Linked DNA regions of Caenorhabditis elegans. The protein of the gene in region 1 purifies or fractionates together with the protein of each later gene. This does not show direct contact. Each region holds a gene or a part of one and is shown on either strand. Other genes may lie near its edges.

What was found. Proteins that work in one complex are often made in the same cells at the same time.
Region 2: the proteins of ucr-2.2 (region 1) and nuo-5 fractionate together in Caenorhabditis elegans (co-fractionation; one large-scale study listed by BioGRID). This does not show direct contact.
Region 3: the proteins of ucr-2.2 (region 1) and F29B9.11 fractionate together in Caenorhabditis elegans (co-fractionation; one large-scale study listed by BioGRID). This does not show direct contact.

The regions. Positions count from the first base shown.
Region 1 is NC_003284.9:15,170,091-15,180,661, forward strand, and holds ucr-2.2 (Peptidase M16 N-terminal domain-containing protein), read left to right. Parts: upstream 1-3,813; 5' UTR 3,814-3,814; coding exon 3,815-3,949; intron 3,950-3,998; coding exon 3,999-4,145; intron 4,146-4,407; coding exon 4,408-4,619; intron 4,620-4,672; coding exon 4,673-4,754; intron 4,755-4,801; coding exon 4,802-4,936; intron 4,937-4,941; exon of another isoform or gene 4,942-5,016; coding exon of another isoform or gene 5,017-5,501; intron 5,502-5,571; coding exon of another isoform or gene 5,572-6,373; exon of another isoform or gene 6,374-6,391; intron 6,392-6,762; coding exon 6,763-6,902; intron 6,903-6,953; coding exon 6,954-7,144; intron 7,145-7,660; coding exon 7,661-7,887; 3' UTR 7,888-8,055; downstream 8,056-10,571. Other genes in the region: ocr-3 (Ion transport domain-containing protein), read left to right, coding at 1-381, 442-606, 653-832, 1,481-1,588, 1,637-1,803, 1,860-1,969, 2,011-2,101, 2,151-2,277 and 3 more; col-41 (Nematode cuticle collagen N-terminal domain-containing protein), read right to left, coding at 5,017-5,501, 5,572-6,373; pkhm-2 (PH domain-containing protein), read right to left, coding at 8,577-8,639, 8,686-9,154, 9,221-9,711, 9,840-10,113, 10,155-10,571.
Region 2 is NC_003283.11:2,697,163-2,701,971, reverse strand, and holds the start of nuo-5 (NADH-ubiquinone oxidoreductase 75 kDa subunit, mitochondrial), read right to left. Parts: upstream 3,001-4,809; 5' UTR 2,995-3,000; coding exon 2,902-2,994; intron 1,698-2,901; coding exon 945-1,697; intron 1-944. Other genes in the region: Y45G12B.2 (Zinc finger protein-like 1 homolog), read right to left, coding at 3,392-3,514, 4,519-4,809.
Region 3 is NC_003282.8:4,659,131-4,661,885, reverse strand, and holds F29B9.11 (Cytochrome c oxidase polypeptide VIIc), read left to right. Parts: upstream 1-1,684; 5' UTR 1,685-1,685; coding exon 1,686-1,799; intron 1,800-2,037; coding exon 2,038-2,190; 3' UTR 2,191-2,255; downstream 2,256-2,755. Other genes in the region: jmjd-1.2 (JmjC domain-containing protein), read right to left, coding at 1-80, 245-529, 576-647, 695-877; mrps-21 (Mitochondrial Ribosomal Protein, Small), read left to right, coding at 2,369-2,520, 2,574-2,755.

The sequences.
Region 1 (10,571 bases):
TCATTCGCGGCGTGCACAAACCAAGTGGATTGCTTTCGGCTCCTTCGCGCGATGAAAGCCGATCCCAACATGCCGGACACCAATGGTAACACGGTGCTTCATCTGACAGTTATACATGATCTACCTGAAATGTTCATGTTGGCAGTGGAACTCGGCGCTAATTTGCACGTGAGAAACAATTTAAAGCTTACGCCTTTAGCATTGGCAGCTAGACTGGCAAAGAAGCATATTTACGATTTGATATTGGAATGTGACATGGACATTTCATGGAGGTATGGACCGGTGGTCTGTAAGGCCTATCCACTTAATGATGTGGACACTATCAACGAAAGTGATGGCTCGCTCAACCCAAACTCAGTTATAGCGAATGTAGTGTACGGAGTGAGTCATTTTTGTACTTGTTTGCTTTCTTCTTGAACACACTACATGTGCTCTATACAGGACAAAGTGGATCATTTGGAGTTTTTTGATGGGCTCATTGAGGAAGTCTTGGAGAGCAAGTGGGAGACTTTCGGCAAAAAACAACTTTTTATGTCACTCGCTGGATATATATACTTTCTGGCGGTGTTTTATCTCGCTTTCATGACCAGAGATGCCCACATTCTCGTGAGTAAATGCTAGTTAATAAATGAAAACACATGAACATTTGAAGCCAAGTGATGAGGACGAAAATGAAAAGTTTGGAATGATTGAACTAGATTTCTCAAATTTCACAAATATTCTCAGCGAGGGGTTAAGTTTGAGAGAACATTTAGCAATTGCGAGAATGGCAGAAAGAGAAGCTCTACCAGCACACTGCCATCTTTGGGATTATTCAGGACCATCGCAACAGGTAAAAGGCAGGGTATTTTATAGAAAAAAAATCGACTATAGAGTGTGGCCCACAAAATAAAACTTTTCAACTGGTACAGTATTTGTAACACTATTTATTAGAATAGTTTTTAGACGAAAAAGCCTCTTTAGTGGGGCTCAGTCCCAGCCCCACAGTGAAAAATTTGTTCTTCGAAGTACACAGTTCTTTAGGAAAATCACGGCGAAAAGCCAAAAATCCTGACCCCCAACCAATGTCAGCCGCCGACATCTCACGAGTTTCGCGCCCCACAGTGTTTACCGTGAAAGTGCGCCGAGAGTTCAGCGTCTTATCTTGCTAAAGTGAACGCTGCAGGGCGCCGAACTCATGAGATGTGGGCGGATGATATTGGTTGGTGTCCGGATTTTTTTTCCAAGCCCAAAATTCGACAATTATTGAGTACCAGTATAATCATGGACTCACTGTAATGCTATTCATAATTATTATTAATATGTCTAACCATATAATGATTCTTTTTGAAACGTTAGGCATTTTTTTTTACTTTAGATTGGCTGGAGGTCAAATTGGAAAAAATTTTGATGGTAAATGGAAAATTCCAAACATCTTGTAGTAACTACAACATGTTGGGTTTCGATCCTACTAGCACTTAATTCTTTCTTTCTCATTCAGATTCGCATGATAAGTGAAATTCTGTGTCTACTCGCAGTAGTAATCCGAACATTTAAAGACTGCATTGATGCTCACCGAACAGGTGTTTCTCGCTGGTGGAACTCTATTGTACGTACCTGAACTATCCTCCTCTCCGAATTTCTCGTTAAATTTCAGAAGGCCTTCCCTGAGAAAGTTCTCCATAAGTTCTGCCAAATTCTTGTGTTATGCACAGTTCCACTCCGTGTTGGATGTTATTTGGACGATAGTTTTCTAGTCATTGAGAACTTGCTAGTGGTGTGCATTGTAATCATGAGTACTTTGCATTTTCTTTTTTATTGCAGGTTTGTCTTTTAGAAGTTTGAAGATACAAGTTTGAACTTATGACAAAGTTTTTCAGAAGTCTTAAATTTGTCGGGCCATTTGTGTTGATGGTGTACAAAATTATTGTGAGAGATATGCTGCGATTTTTGCTTATATACTCGTTTTTCTTAATGGGATTTGCACAAGGTGAGTGTTTTCATAATTTCAATTGTCGAAGTATTTTCCAGCATTTTTTGTTATATTCAAATCCTGTGAGAGAGCAGAAATTGCTTATCAGAAAGCTCATAACTATACTGAAGACGATGAATATATTGAGAAGTAAGAAAACATTTCTTATCACGATTTTATACTACCTAATGTTTTTTAGATTTGAAAACATCATGGAAGATGGTTGGGAGGCAGTGATGAGAATGTTTATTATGAGTGTGGGAGAATTTGGTGCACTTTATAAAAACTTGAACGAGTGCAAAAGCAGCATTGCTCCACAGTCCAAGGTTACAAAAAAAGCTCTTTTCAGGCTTACAAGCTCGTTTTAAGGTATTTTTCATCCTCTTCGAGTTAATTGTGACTGTTATGCTTCTGAATCTACTAATTGCTATGATGACTCGTACTTATGAGAAAATTGCCGAAACTGAGAAAGAATGGAAGCGTCAGGTGATTTTTTTATACTTCAACATTTTATTTTCAAGTTTCACCATTTTACTTTCCAGTGGGCGCAAGTAATTTTAATGTTAGAGCAGTCATCTTCAGCCTCGGAACGCCTCCTATCACTTTATCGTTATACTCGGCCAATACGTTCCGATAAACGAAGAAGAGCATTTGTTGTGAAAGTGAAGTCGAATGTAAGTGAATCTATAAATTTTCCCTAATTTATACTAGAATTTGAAAAAAATTAACTTTATTTCTTATTGTACAAATTTGATGGCAAGACTTGGTGATTCCCGAATCCTATTAAAGGTTGTGTAGTCGAATATTTTTAATGCTTTATTAGACTTGAAATTGTCTGAAAACACCGAATTTCATAATGAAACTTCTTGAAAACTTCTCAAAAAAAAGTTATGACGCGTGAAAAAGTGACCTAAAATTAGTTAAATTTTGAAATTTGACCGACTTGCCTATGTCGCAGCGGCTGGAAACAATTTTTTTTTGAAATTACCGTCAAATTTTGAATAAACCGTGTAATTATCTTGTGTTTTCAACTTTATTTAGGTACTTTAAAGTCGATGGAAGGCAAGATTTGGTTTAAAATAATTTAAAAATCTCGCCGTTATTCTAGCGAATTTTGGGCCATTTTGTGAGCCGTCATAACTTTTTTTAAAAAGAAGTTTTCAAGAAGTTTCATTATGAAATTTGGCATTTCCAGACAATTTTGAGTCTAATAAAGCAATAAAAAAATTCGACTACACCACCTTTAATGTCTTCAGAAATATCCTAACTTGGTTTAAGCACATTTTGTTAGTTTTGTAAAAATTATAGGAAAACATAATTTTTGCTGAAACTGAAAAATTTGTAATCAAACTTTTCCTCTCGAAAAAAACCTCACAAAATTTATATCATTTTTTTAGTTTTCAAATATATTTTTTCAGGACCGCCAGCAACCACAACTCAAATTAATTCCACCGCGTGGAAAACCGTCAATCCGCTTGTCAAACAACAGTTCCATTCATGTCTTACATGTTCTATCAAAACATGCTTCGTAAAAACTAAAAAAATTTCAATTATTCGTTTATTAATTTTTGCCGTAATAAAGTGTTCATAGTCCTCGTCGTTTCATGCCATTTGGCCAGTGACGTATGTGCGCACGAAACGCGCAAGCGAGAAGGGATGCGTCAGCAATGAGTCGGGAAAGGCGTCTCTCATTTTTTGGACCTATTTTTGTGAAAAATGAAGTTATTTTTAGTTTTCCATTTAATATTTAAACAAAAAATGAATAAATTTGATAAATTATGCACTTTTTATAACCGTATTGTTCAATTTTACCCAATTTTTGAAAATTATCTAGTTTTTCTTTGAAAATCTAGTTTTTTCAGAATGCTTAGCCGCAACATTGGAGCTGTTCGCGGAGCCCATAAGGCAGCAACGACAAAACCAGTCGAAAAAGTGGCCAAACTTGGAAATGGATTGACCGTTGGAACTATCGACTCTCACAAACCAATTGCACATTTGGTTTTTTTTTAATTTGTTTCTTCTATCCGAAATCATCTTCAAATTTTAGGTTCTTGCCTTCAGAGCTGGAAGTCGCTACGAAAAAGCCAACCAGGCCGGACTCTCTCATACCATCAGAAATTTCGTCGGCAGAGATACCCAGGAATACTTTGGAAACACAGTTGTATGGACGTTGTCACAGACCGGAGGAGTTCTGGTGAGCAAGAAAAAAAAATCGATAAAGTTGAATCTACTGGGCGTTAGAAAAGAACTAAGAATTTTAATGTAAATTTGAAGAAAGATTGCATAATACATTCACAGTTTTTTTTAGAAAAGATTTGTTAGAAAAAAAATTTGGAATTAAGTATTTTGTATCAAAATTTCAGAAAAAATGTGGTCTAATTAACTTGGAGCAAAATTATCAAATTTTCATGAGCATTCCAAAAAGTCTCACAGACATAGCGAGGGTGATGTTTCAGAAATCCTTCACCTCCCGCGATCTTTTCGGAGTCTCCCTCACAATTCCACGCGAAAGCACTTCCGTCGGACTTTCCGTATTGGGACAAGTCGCTGGTAACCCAGGATTCAAGCCATGGGAAGTCGAGGATGTGCTGCCAACTATGCGCGCTGACAACGGATACAGAACCGCTTACGACTTGGTTGTTGACCAGATTCACAAGGCCGCTTACAGGTTTGGCATTGAGAAGCTTTCGAGAATTCATTGAGCAAAACTTTTTTTTTTAGAAATGGAGGACTTGGAAACTCAATCTATGCACCATGCTCTAAAATTGGATCGATCTGCACATCAACTTTGTCCTCATTTGCAGTAAGTTGCTTATTCTTATCTGCAAGTTTTCAATTTTAAAATTTCAGGAGCAGCACTTCGTCACAGGAAACGGAGTATTGTTTGCCACTAATGCTGTTCACGATGACCTTCTTCTCTATGGAGACAATCACGCCCCAATCAGAAGTGGAAACGCTGCGTCCCCATCTTCAAGTGCTTACAAGGTGAGTTCTTGAAAACGAATATTTATTCAGTGGAGTTGGATAACAAAGTCATAAATAATGTCATGAGAAGTGTCACGCATCTACCAACGTCTCTGGTAGCTTCCAGTTTGTGGTGGAGATGGAGCATCGTATCCTCCTGATGGCTGCTCTGGCTTGGCTGGTGGTGGGACGGAATAAGCTGGCTCAGCTGGATAGCTTGGGGATGGGTAGCTCGGAGATGGGTAGCTTGGGGATGGATAGCTTGGAGATGGATAGCTTGGAGACGGGTAGCTTGGTGATGGATGAGCTGGCTCTTGTGGAGCTGGGGATGGGTATCCAGAATCTGGAGTCTCTGGCTCTCTGACTGGTGGCTGTGAAGCTGGTGCTGGACGAGTTGTTGCTGGTGGAGCGCGGGTGGTTGCTGGTGGAGCACGAGTTGCTGGTGGAGCGCGAGTTGCTGGTGGAGCACGAGTTCCTGGAGCAGCAGTGGATCCACGTGGTGGTGGCTGTGGAGCGGATGTTCCAGATGATGGTGGGGTTCTGTCGTCTTGTCTTTGTGGGCATGGGCAGTAGTTGGCATCTTTTCCTGAAACAATTTAAAATGTTTCATCACTGTTTGTTCAAGAAATTCCTAGTAACAACAACAAAAATTTTACCTGGAGCTCCTGGCTTTCCAGCTTGTCCCGGGGTTCCTGGGAAGGCGTCGTGACCAGCGTTTCCTGGAGTTCCTGGTGCTCCTTGTGGTCCCTCCTCTCCGTCCTTTCCTGGCTCTCCATGTTGTCCTGGAAGTCCTGGCTCTCCCAACCATCCTGGCTCTCCTGGCTGTCCAGCTTGTCCTGGGAAGTATGTGGTTCCTGGCTGTCCGTCTGGTCCGTCGGTCCCATCGTATCCCTTTGGTCCTTGTTCTCCTTGATCTCCTGGGGCTCCCTCCTGTCCTGGGGCTCCATCTTCACCGGATGGTCCGGATTGCCCTTGAAGTCCTGGGAATCCTTCTGGTCCAGAGTCTCCATCAGGCCCTGGTGGTCCAGCTGGTCCCTCTGGGCATTTAATGCATCCTCCTGGAATATCGTGAGTGGTTGCAAGAGAGATACCACTGGCTCCACGTCTTCCTTCATCTCCTGGATGTCCTTCGTCTCCACGCTTTCCTGGGTTTCCTGGTGGTCCTGGTGCTCCTGCTGGGCATCCTTGAGAGTTGCTGTCGCAATTGCACATTCCTGGGTACACAAATCTCTTGTTACGGAGGAGGGATGGCACTGGATTGGCAGATTCTCCTGTTGGAGATTGAAGAATCAGGAGACGATCCCAAGTATCATCGGCAAGAACTTTGAACTCATCAACGCGTCCTTCAACTTCGGAACGAAGGTTGTTAATATCTTGAACAATATGTCCAATTGAGCAAAGAGCGGAGAAAACTCCGAGCAAGCAGACGCCTGCCCCAATATAGCCAAGAGTAGACATCGTTGAGAACAATGTTGTGTATTGCTTTGGTGAACACTTTTTTATACATTTTTCTCCGAAAAAACTCGAAAGCCGGCAAGAACTTGCAAGGGCAAGGGGGAGGCTGGGAAAACTTAGAAACTTAGACACGCAACAGATCGGGAAGAACGCGCCGATAAAAAATTACCGGTCCTAGTCGTATGACAGATATCGCAATGCGACGGATATTCAGTATACCTTTGGCATGAAGAGGAAAAAACTTGCTACTATTGTTTCTTTCCCCGAAAAAATGCAATCACTCATTTTGGATTTGGAAATAGAACAGAAAAACTTTGCAAATTTCAATTTCATTATCCACTCCACTGTTTATGTTATCTATACTATCATTTCTCACCTTTTCTGACACCTAGGGAGGAGAAGTGCGCAGAGATGCCGATTCGAAGTACGCGCATGTGATTGTCGCTGGAGAAGGAGCTGCCGGAAACAACACGAAAGCATTGGCCACCCAAGCAGTTCTCCTCACCGCACTTGGAAATTCATCACCAGTCAAGTAATACAAAAAAGGAATTACAATGTTCACACTTGAAATGATTAATTTCAGATTCAACACCGGAACCACTGGAGTCATCGCAAAAGCCGTCGGACAGAATGGATCGGCCAGCGCATTCCAAGCTGTTCATGCGGATAGTGGACTGGCCGGAGTATACCTTGTCGTTGAAGGAAGCCAGGCTAACCAAGCTGTTTCGAATGTAGTTGGAGCATTGAAGTCTTTGAAGGTCGCTGATATTGAAGGTAAGAAATTTTGTTTTTTAGAGTATAAATTTGATAAAATGGGATCACACTATTTTTGTACATCGATATTTCTGAAATTATAAAAAAAAATAAAAATTAAATAAAGATATGCTTCTAGGATGTTCTACAACATTCTATAATAAAATAGTCCAGAAAGCTGCAGAACTTTCCGGGGCAAAACTTTCAAAATTTTCGGAGAAAACTTTTTTCACGACCTAATACTTGACATTTTTGTATGTAGATTTACAATTTGAGCCGCCTTAGAGAAGGGCTTTTGTATAAATATGATTTTTAGAGGCCTATACTGAAAACCCAAAATATAAATTGTGTTCTTGTGGTAGAGTTGAACTTAACTAAACTAGACTAAAGCTAAACTATGCTAACCTTGTCGTAAAATTTAAGCGAAATGGAATATTTCTAGCACAAAACTAATTGCAGATTTTTAGGTTGATGGTAATTTCAAACTACTGTGACGTTACCGACTTAATCGGTTTTTGTATTAATTTCAACTTTCAGCCGTCAAGAAGCAGGCCTTCAACAACGCCTTGAGAGCCTCTGCTCATTCCGACAACTTTGCCATCGAGAGAGCCTCCCAACTCTTCCAGTCCCAAGACAATTACATTCAACAGATTCCAAATGTGTCGGCTAGTGATGTTGAAGTTGCCGCCAAGAAATTGACTACCAAGTTGTCGTTGGCCAGTTATGGAAATGTCTCAGAAGTCCCATATGTTGATACTCTGTGAGCATCTAGTTAAATTAAATGATTTTACTCCAGTAGACGAACGCATTTTGTTATTTTTTGGTCAATTTGTTTTCCGTCTCATATGACTATTTTTTTGCTGTCAATAAAAGGTACTAGACTTTGAAATTTGTTTGTTCAATGAACAAAAAAATAAAGAAATTATTCACGTAATCAAAAACAGACAGAAAAAAAAAGTAAGCTCGAATAAGCTTATACATATACCGAGGGTGAATAAGTGAATTGTAAATGTGAGAGTTAGGCTTTGAAACGTTCGGGAGAAGCGGGAAAGAATGACAACTTAAACGTGTAAAAACATGAAATTCCGTATAATCTAGTTTGGGGTGTGAGCATTGAAATGTGCAGGATAACAACAACAAAAAGGTGGGTTGAAAGAAATCTGGGAAATTAACAGTTATTAGCCGTGACGAACAGAAGCACCGGGGGCTCTGCACAAATGGGCCCGCGATAGACTACAATTAAATGAGACAAGTTCGAAGGAACAGAGTTGAAGGTGGGAAGAGGAGATGACATGAGCTACTGAGCTACTTTATAAGTGTTAAGGCTGAAATGGAAATGAATGTGTATGGGGAAAATTGGGACAAAAAAAGTACAAAAGTACAATGGGTACCCGGACCAGGTAGCGATTATCATGGAGTTAACTCTTGATGAGTAAAGAAATGGAGATGCGAATTAGACTGGCCACAGCGTGTTGGCGGAGCAGCAAGTGTTATGGATGATTTTTCCAATCGGTGTCTAGAAATTATATTTAATTAGTTACTAAGTTTCTCTATTAACATACCTTAATCAAATCATCATCAAGCTTTGCCCAACGGACACCGTAACTGCTTTGAACAGCAGACGCAAGCCGTTCCAGCTCCTTATCGAATCGGACGAAGAAGTAATGAATGGTATCGTCTTTGGTGACCAAGCAAAGCGCAGGCGAGCGATTCCCAAAGAAGCTCTCCTTATCCTCCGGCTGACGAACAACTACCGATTGCTTGACGTTAATACCTCCAACTTCGTTGAGAAGGCGCAAGAATCCATCGGACCAGAACTTTTCGCCCTCTTGAACCAGTGCGATGCAGGTCTCCGTGACTACTGCAAGGCAAGATGCCATGTATGGCTGCGTCGTCTTATTCTCCGCAATCATTGTCAGGATTCTGGTCCATTCGATTTGATCCTCCTGGGTTGGGCACTCAAACTCAAATGTACCTTCTGCAGCTTTCATTTGGAAAGCAACTCTTCCTGTGCTATTGATACTGGAGCCACTGAAAATTATCAAATTATATATATTTTATTGAGTTGTCTAATGCACAAAAGCTGATTTTACTAACCTTAAGCTAATCACCAATTCTTCGGTCTTGCAGGTCGAGTCGGCAAACACATTAAAATTGTTGCCAACAATCATGCAGTACTTCTGCTCAGCCTCGTCGGAGCTCTTAATCCAGTTCCCAATGTTCGATTTGAACAAAAAACCGGATTTTGTTGCAGTCGATCGTTCACGCTCCTCATACGTCTGTTCGTACCAGAAGCACAGCGTCGCAGCACGAACATCAATTGTGCGTCCGAGTTGCTTCTCTAAATTTGGCTGAAGCATGCACATATATCCAATGTGGTCGTCAACTTCGGCATGGTTCGTAATCTGGCGACTGCTGTGCTCGACGAGGTTGATGAGCGAGTTGATCATGTGTGCACCGCTCTCCAATCCAGCCATTGAGCCGACGTACGCGAAAACTGTCTGGTCATCTTTCTCCTCGCTGTGCACATAGTGGCTGAAGCCTTCCTCATTGGCTTCCAACATGAATGACAAGTTATCAACGCTGATCTGAAAAAAGTTAAAGCTGAATTTCATGAAAATGTGATTTTGACCATTTTTGACTGTTCACGTGTAAAAATGCCATGATATCAATCACAGGGTTTTTAAAATTGCACAGAAGAGCTGGAAATGCTTACCTTGATGGTCTTGATCCGATCGTGTGGCATGCGGAACAGTGGGATGAAAAATCCTTCTGACGAGAGGTTTGTTGTTTTTCCTGGCGACGAATTCTGCGTGTGAGTTCGGTATTTGAAGACGTAGACGTTGTAGTTGGTCATAACAAGGTAGCGAAGCTTCATGTTGTCCGAGTGGAAGCTCTCGATCACTTTGAAACATTCGATGATTTTCTCTGACGACTTCTCGAATACGTTGATAGCAAGGTGCAAGACATCTCCTTGGCTCATTCTAAAACTAACTCAATTTGATCAGTAAAAGCTCAGTTTAAAACTCACTGGTATTCTCCATCTGCTAAATTATACTCTGGAAGCACCATATCATCTGGCTCGACGCTGGCCAAGATGTGCTCAATGCCATCTGGATTCATCGACTCCATATTCACACAAGACATTTTCTTGGTCATCACATCTTCCAGCTTTTCTTCAACAATCACCGACGGCGATGGAGCGTTGTCCTCATTATTTTCTTCGTGCTGAGCATCAAACAACTCGGTGTTGAGTCGGTTATGACGAGTGCGAACTAGCTCGTCGAGCAGAACATCCTGGTCAATTGCTTGCGATAGTATCGATGGAATTTCCGTTGGAATGACGTTTGGAACAGTGTCCTGTGATGCTTCCTTCTCAGTGAGCTTTCGTTGGCGAGCTTGAGCTCTCAGGGACAATTGAGTCGGCGTAGAGTCGATGACGGCGGCT
Region 2 (4,809 bases), on another chromosome or scaffold:
AAATGAATTTATTTATCGAAAATAAGCTTTTTAAGTTATTTTCAGAAAATTAGATTTTTTTTTTGATTTTCTCTGAAAAAAAAATCGATTTTTACCGATAACAGCTCAAAAAGCATTAAAAATTCATAAAAAGTAAAATGTTGCCGAACAATTTTTTATTCCAAACCAGGGGTGTGCGGCAAATTTGCCGATTTGCCGAAAATTGCCGACTTGCCGAATTCGGCAAATTTAAAAAAACCAGCAATTGCCGATTTGCCGAGCTCGGCAATTTTCAAAAAAGTAGATTTTCCGAATTTGCCGAGCTCGGCAAATTTCGAAATTTGCCGCACACGTGAAAAATTTGACAGTACAATTTTGAATAAAACTATTGATTTTTTAGCCAAAAATTTAGTAAAATGACACAAAATTGAGCTATTTTGATGCTTAAACAGACATACTACGCGGAACTTATTCAGAAACCAGATGTGTGTTAAGAATTCAGTAGTTTTGGTGCTCCACAAAACATAAAAAATATCAAATTTTTCCGAGTTTGTTAAGCACGGCAAATTTGCCGAATTTGCCGAATTTGCCGAGCTCTGCAAATTTGCCGAATTTGCCGTGCTCGGCAAATATTGAAAAAAGAGATTTGCCGAATTTGCCGAGCTCGGCAAATTTTGAAAAACCAGCAATTGCCGATTTGCCGAGCTCGGCAATTTTTTCCATTTGCCGCACACCCCTGTTCCAAACTAGACTACACAATTTTCAACTTTTTAATTATCAAAATTCAAAAAATCTGTAAATTTTCGATTTTTTTCAGAGAAAATTGAAAAATATCGATTTTTTCTCCAAAAAAAGTGAAAAATGGCCAAAAATACAATTTTTTTTTCGACATTCGAAAAATATCGATTCTTCTTCAAAATTTTCAAAGCTATGTCTTCCAAAAAATTCGTTTCAAAACTCCGTACATCGTTGATTTTCGGAATAACCCGCAGAAGCTCGCCAGTCCGATGCGAAAGCACAATATTCGATCCGGTCGCATCCATCACATCAACACTTTCAGTCTTTCTAGTCTCCCAGGGCCGGGCCGTAAACGCGTACTGCTTGCTGGTAAGAGCTCCGACCGGACAAATATCGATAATATTCCCAGAGAGCTCTGAAGCAAAAAATTTCTCGACGTAGGTGCCAATTTGAAGATCTTGTCCTCGTCCGGTGGTGCCGAAATCCGGAAAAGCGGCCACTTCATTAGCGAATCGGACACATCGAGTACACTGAATACATCGAGTCATCACAGTTTTCACCAACGGCCCGATATTCTTATCCTCGAGAGCCCGTTTTCCATCGAATCTCGACTGAAGCCGCCCACGATCGGATCCGAAATTCATCGCCTGATCCTGTAGATCACATTCGCCACCTTGATCACAAATCGGGCAGTCGAGTGGATGGTTGTTGAGCATGAACTCCATCACCCCTTCGCGAGCTTTTTTCACGAAATCCGAGTTGGTTTTGACTTTCATTCCGTTCATGACAGGCATCGCACATGATGCGACAGGCTTCACCGACTTCTCCACCTCTACCAGACACATTCGGCAGTTTCCGGCAATTGAGAGACGGTCGTGATAGCAGAAGCGTGGGATGTCGACGCCGACGAGCGCGCACGCTTGGAGAATCGTCATTCCCGGGTCGACGAGCACTTTTTTGTCGTCGATGAAGACTTCGACCTGGAAGAAAATGAGGTGATTTTTAGTGGTTTTTTTGTTGATTTTTACAGGGAAAATCGAAAAATTTCGATTTTTTTTATTTGAAAATCGAAAAAAAATTTTTTTTTTAAGTTTTTTGTTTTCGGAAAATGGAAGAAATTTGTTTCGTTTTTTTTTTTTTTTAATTGAAAAAAATGTTGGGTTTTTAGGTTCCGGAAAATCGAAAAATATATATTTACGATATATTTTTAAAAATTGAAAAAAAAACGAATTTTCGATTTTTTACAGGAAAAATCATCGAAAAAATTCTGATTTTTTGAACTGAAAGCTAAATTTTTAGATTTTTTACAGGAAAATTAGATTTTTTAAAATTGAAAAACGTAATTTTTCGATTTTTTTTTAATTGAAAAACGTGCTTTTTTCATTTTATGTTTTTTTTGTTGATAAATTTAAAAACGAAATGTTTCGATCATTTTAATTGAAAAAAAAAATTAGATTTTTTACAGGAAAAATCGAATAATTTTTATTTTTTTGTAAAAAAAATTGTCAGAGAAAATCGAGCATTTAAAAAAAAATTCGATGTTTACAGGAAAAATCGAAAAAATTCCGATTTTTGAACCGAAAAACTAAATTTTTGATTTTTTTACAGGAAATAACGATTTTTTTTTCAATTGAAAAACGAAGAAATTTAGATTTTTGTTTAAATTAAATAACGTACTTTTTCGATTTGTTCTTTTTTCGGAAATTAAAAAAACTAAATTTTCCGTTTTTTAAAGGAAAAATCTAAAAATTTTTGATTTTTCGAACCGAAAAACGGAATTTTTCGATTTTTTTAATTGAAAAACGAAAACATTTTTGATTTTAGTAAAACATCATTGCACCATGTATTTTGTAAAATTTTCAATTAATAATTAGTGCCAAAATATAGAAAATCACTCGATTCATCGAGAAAATCACATTAATTTCGGATGAAACAGTTGAGAAAAAGCTCAAAACTGTCTTTTTGAGCGCTTTCTCCAACATTTCAGCTAAAATCAAAGTGATTTTCCGATAAATCGAGCGATTTTCTATATTCTGGCACTAATTTTAAATGGAAAATGATGGAAAATTGGAGATTGTAGATGAAATTAAGCTTTTTTTTTGAATTTCTCGCTAGTTAATTCGTTATTTTTTTGCCAAATCCATTTTTCTTCAATTTTTCCGCCGAAAATTCCAGTTTTTTCACCTTTTTCGGTGGAGCCGGAGCCGCCACCGAAAGCGATCTCTTCTGTTGAGCCTTCGACACTCCGCGGACAATTTGTCCACCGACGCGATGCATGGTGCTCTGAAATTGCAATTACTTCCTGAAATTTTTTCCGAAAAATTGAGAGAAAATAAATATAAATCTCGGTAGAAAATTAACCGAATTTCAATTTTTAGAGGAAAAAAAATCAATAAATACCATTTAAACCACCGAATATACAAGAAATAGGGCAAAAAAAAAGAATAAATAATTAATAATTAATTACAACCAAGTTTTAGCTAGTTTTAGCTAGTTTTTAGCGAAAAAAATCGAAAAAAATCAGAAAAAATCCCGTTTGTTAGCATCATTAGCAGGCGAAAGTAAAAATAAAAAATTTTTCGAAAAACTTTTTTTTTCGTTGGGGAATGAGTAGACATTGAATATTACACAGAAAGGGAAGGATATGCACATTTTTTTCAAAAAAAAAAATTTTTTAGACGTGTGGAAGACGAGAATCTTCGACGGCGACGCGAATATTCGGATTGGCCATTGGATCGAAAAGGGGGTCCGATGAGTGCTCGCCGCTGTATCCGGCACGCTTCATCACCATTATAATCTGGAAAAATACAATTTATTTGGAATTAAATGAAGTTAGAATCTAAATTTGCTTGATAAGACTCATAAACACTCAAAATTTGCTTAAAAAGCCATAAAATTCGCTCAAAAATACTCAAAATTCACTCAAAAAAAGTCAAACTTTGATCAAAAAGCCTTAACATTTCCTTCAAAAATACTCAAAAATTGCTCTAAAATACTCAAAAAATTGCTCAAAAAGACAATAAATTTGCTCAAAAAGCCTTAAAATTTGATCAAAATGACTCAAAATTTGCGAAATTTGATTAAAAACACTCAAAATTTGCTCAAAAAGCTCAAAATTCGCTTAAAAATACTCAAAATCGCTCAATTTTAGCTAAAATACACCAATTTCGCCGACTTTTCCGTGTCGCAGCGGTCGGAAATTGACTTATATTTTATTTTCATGAAATTTCATCGTTTATTTTATATTTTTATTGTTTATTACACATTTTTTCGCTATTTAATGTACATTTTAAGCCACACGGCAGACGTTGAGCGCAAAAAATTGTGGGCGGGGTCTGGACCGCAATTCTGCGGCGCGCGATTTCGCAACTCCGCCGCGCTGTTTTTTTGTCAGTCGAAATTTTTTTTTCATGAGATTTTATCGAAATATCTCGAAAAAATCACGATATACTGGAAATTTTATTCGAAAAATGCGAAAAAAAACTTAAAAACTTGTAAAAAATAGTCGCGCGGTGGAGTTGCGAAACATCGCGCCGCAGGATTGCGGTTTAGGCTCCGCCCTCACGTCGTTTTCGGTTTATATGCTTCAAATGTACACTAAATAACGAAAAAAACGTGAGAAAAACGATAAAAATTGAAAATAAACTGTGATAAAATCAAATAAAAGCGAATTTCCGACAGATGCAACACGGAAAAGTCGGCGAAATTGATGTATTTTAGCTAAAATTAGGCCATTTTTTCAGGGAAAAAATATTTTTTTGGCGTTTTTGAGTCTATAAAAGTCGCTTTTTAAAATCCAACCGTAATCAAAGCCAAAACGGCCAGGAAAATCACGAAAAGCGCGATTTTTTTCGCGGAAGCCCGTTCCTGTGGGACCCCGGAGCCGCCATGTTTTGCTCTCCAGAGCCCGCGCATCCAATCCATCGTCGGGCGCCGTTTATATTTATTCTCCTCGTTATCGGCGTCACGGAGCTGTAAAAGTGGACGAGTATCGCTTGAAGATTCGGCTCCGTAGTTCTTTTTTCGCGCAAAAGTGACGTCATTGTTGGAGACCGAGTAGGAAGCGGTGTCTTCCATTTCCAGATGGGTTGC
Region 3 (2,755 bases), on another chromosome or scaffold:
AGCTTCAATTCTTCTTGAACTTCTTTCTTTTTTGTTTTCATTTCGTCGAAATTCGAAATTGAAACGAAACGGAATGGAGGCTGGAATAAAATTTGATGATATTTATCAATTAATTTTTTTTCTTCATTTAAAAGTTCAGTATGATATTGCCACGGGAAATTTGAATTTTTTCAAAAATTTATAAATTTATAAATAAATTTTTTTTGAATGAAAATAATCTTCCACATTTCAGAATAAACCATACCTCAGATCCGTTGCTGACGTAGTTCTGATTTGACTCCATCTTCGGCGCTTCCGCTTCCATCTTGTTGCTCATTGCAGCCTGATTATCCGATGAATCTGTCACATGTGGCTCGATTTTAGGCTCGCTCTTCGGATTGTGCTGCTTTCTCCTCGGATCTTTTGGAGCGCCCATCTTGTTGTAAGCTCTCGCCTGGAAAATTACGTTGAGAAATGGAGGAAGTTCAGTGAAATCGGAGGTTACACTCACTTTCATGAGCACTGATTCTATCGCAAAATCAACCGAATTCTGAGATGAGACTTTTTTTAAAATTTTAAATGAATAAAACACTTACTCTATCCATTTCGGAAACCGATTCATGGGAATTGCCATTCAAATGATTTTGAGGAGCTGCGACGCTTGCTTCCTGTAATCAATATCATTGAATAATCGCAGAAAAATAAAAAATCGTACAGAAACTAATGGCGTTTGATGCTCAGTAGAGGAAAGAGCCGGTTGAGAGGCTGTGTATGACATTCCTGGCTCGCCGATTGCCGATTCGTGATTCTTATGGTCGGAATGCTGATCCATCATTAGAAGTGCTGATTGGTCTCGAGAAAACTCGTTTTTTTGTATATTTATATCATTACCATCCATTTGGAATGTGTAGATTCTGGAAAACAACGATTTTTAACGGAAAACTCGAAAACTTCAACGAATAGTCGATTGAAAGGGAAACAACGGACAAAATAACATGAAAATAGCTTCGAAATGTTTAAATTTATTTCTGTTACAACATTTTTCAATAAAAAACTCCAGAAAAATGATGGAAAACTGAAATATATGCTGAAAAAACTGTAAGCCTCGAGGAGATGTGAAGAAGAAGAGAAACGAGACGCAGCATGCGAAACAAGAGACACTGCGAAACGGGGGAACGTGAGTCGCGATGAAATTTACGAGTTTGTGGGATTAAATACTAATTAGTAGATAAACTTTAAGATGAAAATATCAATATTGATTAGTTGAATTGATTGCAATTCTGAATACAAAAAATTTTTAACGAGAAAATCAATTTCTGCCTGTCCACTTCCGGGTTTTGGTGTCTCGCATTCACCGTTCACTCGCTTCGCAGTGTCTCCGTCTTTCTCACCTTCCGTATTCTCACACTTGGCACGTAGCCAAGCGGCTGGTCTCGCAACGATTGTTTTTGTTTTCCGTCAGCCGTCTCTGCGCCTTTAACCTCTCACAGCCTGCCGATTATTTTTTAAGCAGATTTTTACTATTTTTCAGCTTTCAAGCTTCATCCATTAGCAAAATCAAATAATTTTTTGATTCATTGTGTAGAATTAACGATTTTCGTATAGTTTCTGTTTTTATAACCGCCTGAATCGTATTCTCTGTTTCGTTTTCTATGGATTATCATGCTTGCTCAATTACTCTGTAAATTTAAACGATTTATTGCAGGATGCTGAACCGTGCTGTGCTCTCCTTGGCTAGAAGCCAACATGTCATCCGTCGCTCGCTTCACAAGGGAGTTGACTCGACCCCACCACTCCGTTTCACCTCTGTCAGCGAGAAGGTAATTTTTTATTTGCTAAATGTCTTGAACTTATCCTTGTGAGCAGTAAAACTTAAAATACCACTAGCTCACCAAAAAAAACTAAATTTCAGTTTGTACATTCGTTTGAATGGATTTGAAAAATTAATTTCTGAACTAAAAGATACAGTTTTGAAATTTGTCTCACTTTTAATTTAGCTGCTCAAAAACATATTTATCCAGATATCCATATTATTCACTATAACACCAATTTTTTCAGGTTGCCCTTTACGGACTCATCTGCGTCGCTTTCATGGCATACCCAACTTCCGTCCTCTTCAGACTTGATAGTCTTCGCCCAAGACCGGATAATGCTCTCTCCCCAGAAGTCCAAGAAGAGATTGACGCCCGTGTTGCCGCCCGCAGACAGTAGAAGTAATATTATGCCACGAGCCATTGTGTAGACTTTTGAGAACAACAATAAATCGATTCTTGTTTTCTCTTCGCTTTTTCTCAATTTTATTCGCTGTCAAATGTGGTTTATCCATCCATGAAAGATAAATGTTCGATTCGGTTTTTCATTTAGAATTTTTTTGATAATTGTTTTAAAGATGGTACGTCAATTCACCTGGAGAGGAACGATTTCTCAGCCGTTCGCGATTAAACTTTTCAAAGGAATTTGGAATTCACATCCAAGATTCGCAACTCGAACAGTAATGGTGCAGAACAATGATGTCGATGGAGCTTTCGGACTTCTTAACAGGTTTTCTTTGGAAAAATTCCCAGAACATAATTTCAAGATTGAAATAATTTCAGATTGATGGATTCAGAAGGAATGCTGAAAATCATTCGCCGCACTCAATTCTATCAGAAGCCCTACATGCAACGAAAAACACTGTCGATGGAAGCATCAACGGCGATTTTCAACGAGGACATGAACCGGAAAATGAAATTTCTCGTTCGAAAAAATCGTCCCGACAAGCATCCCGGACAAGTGA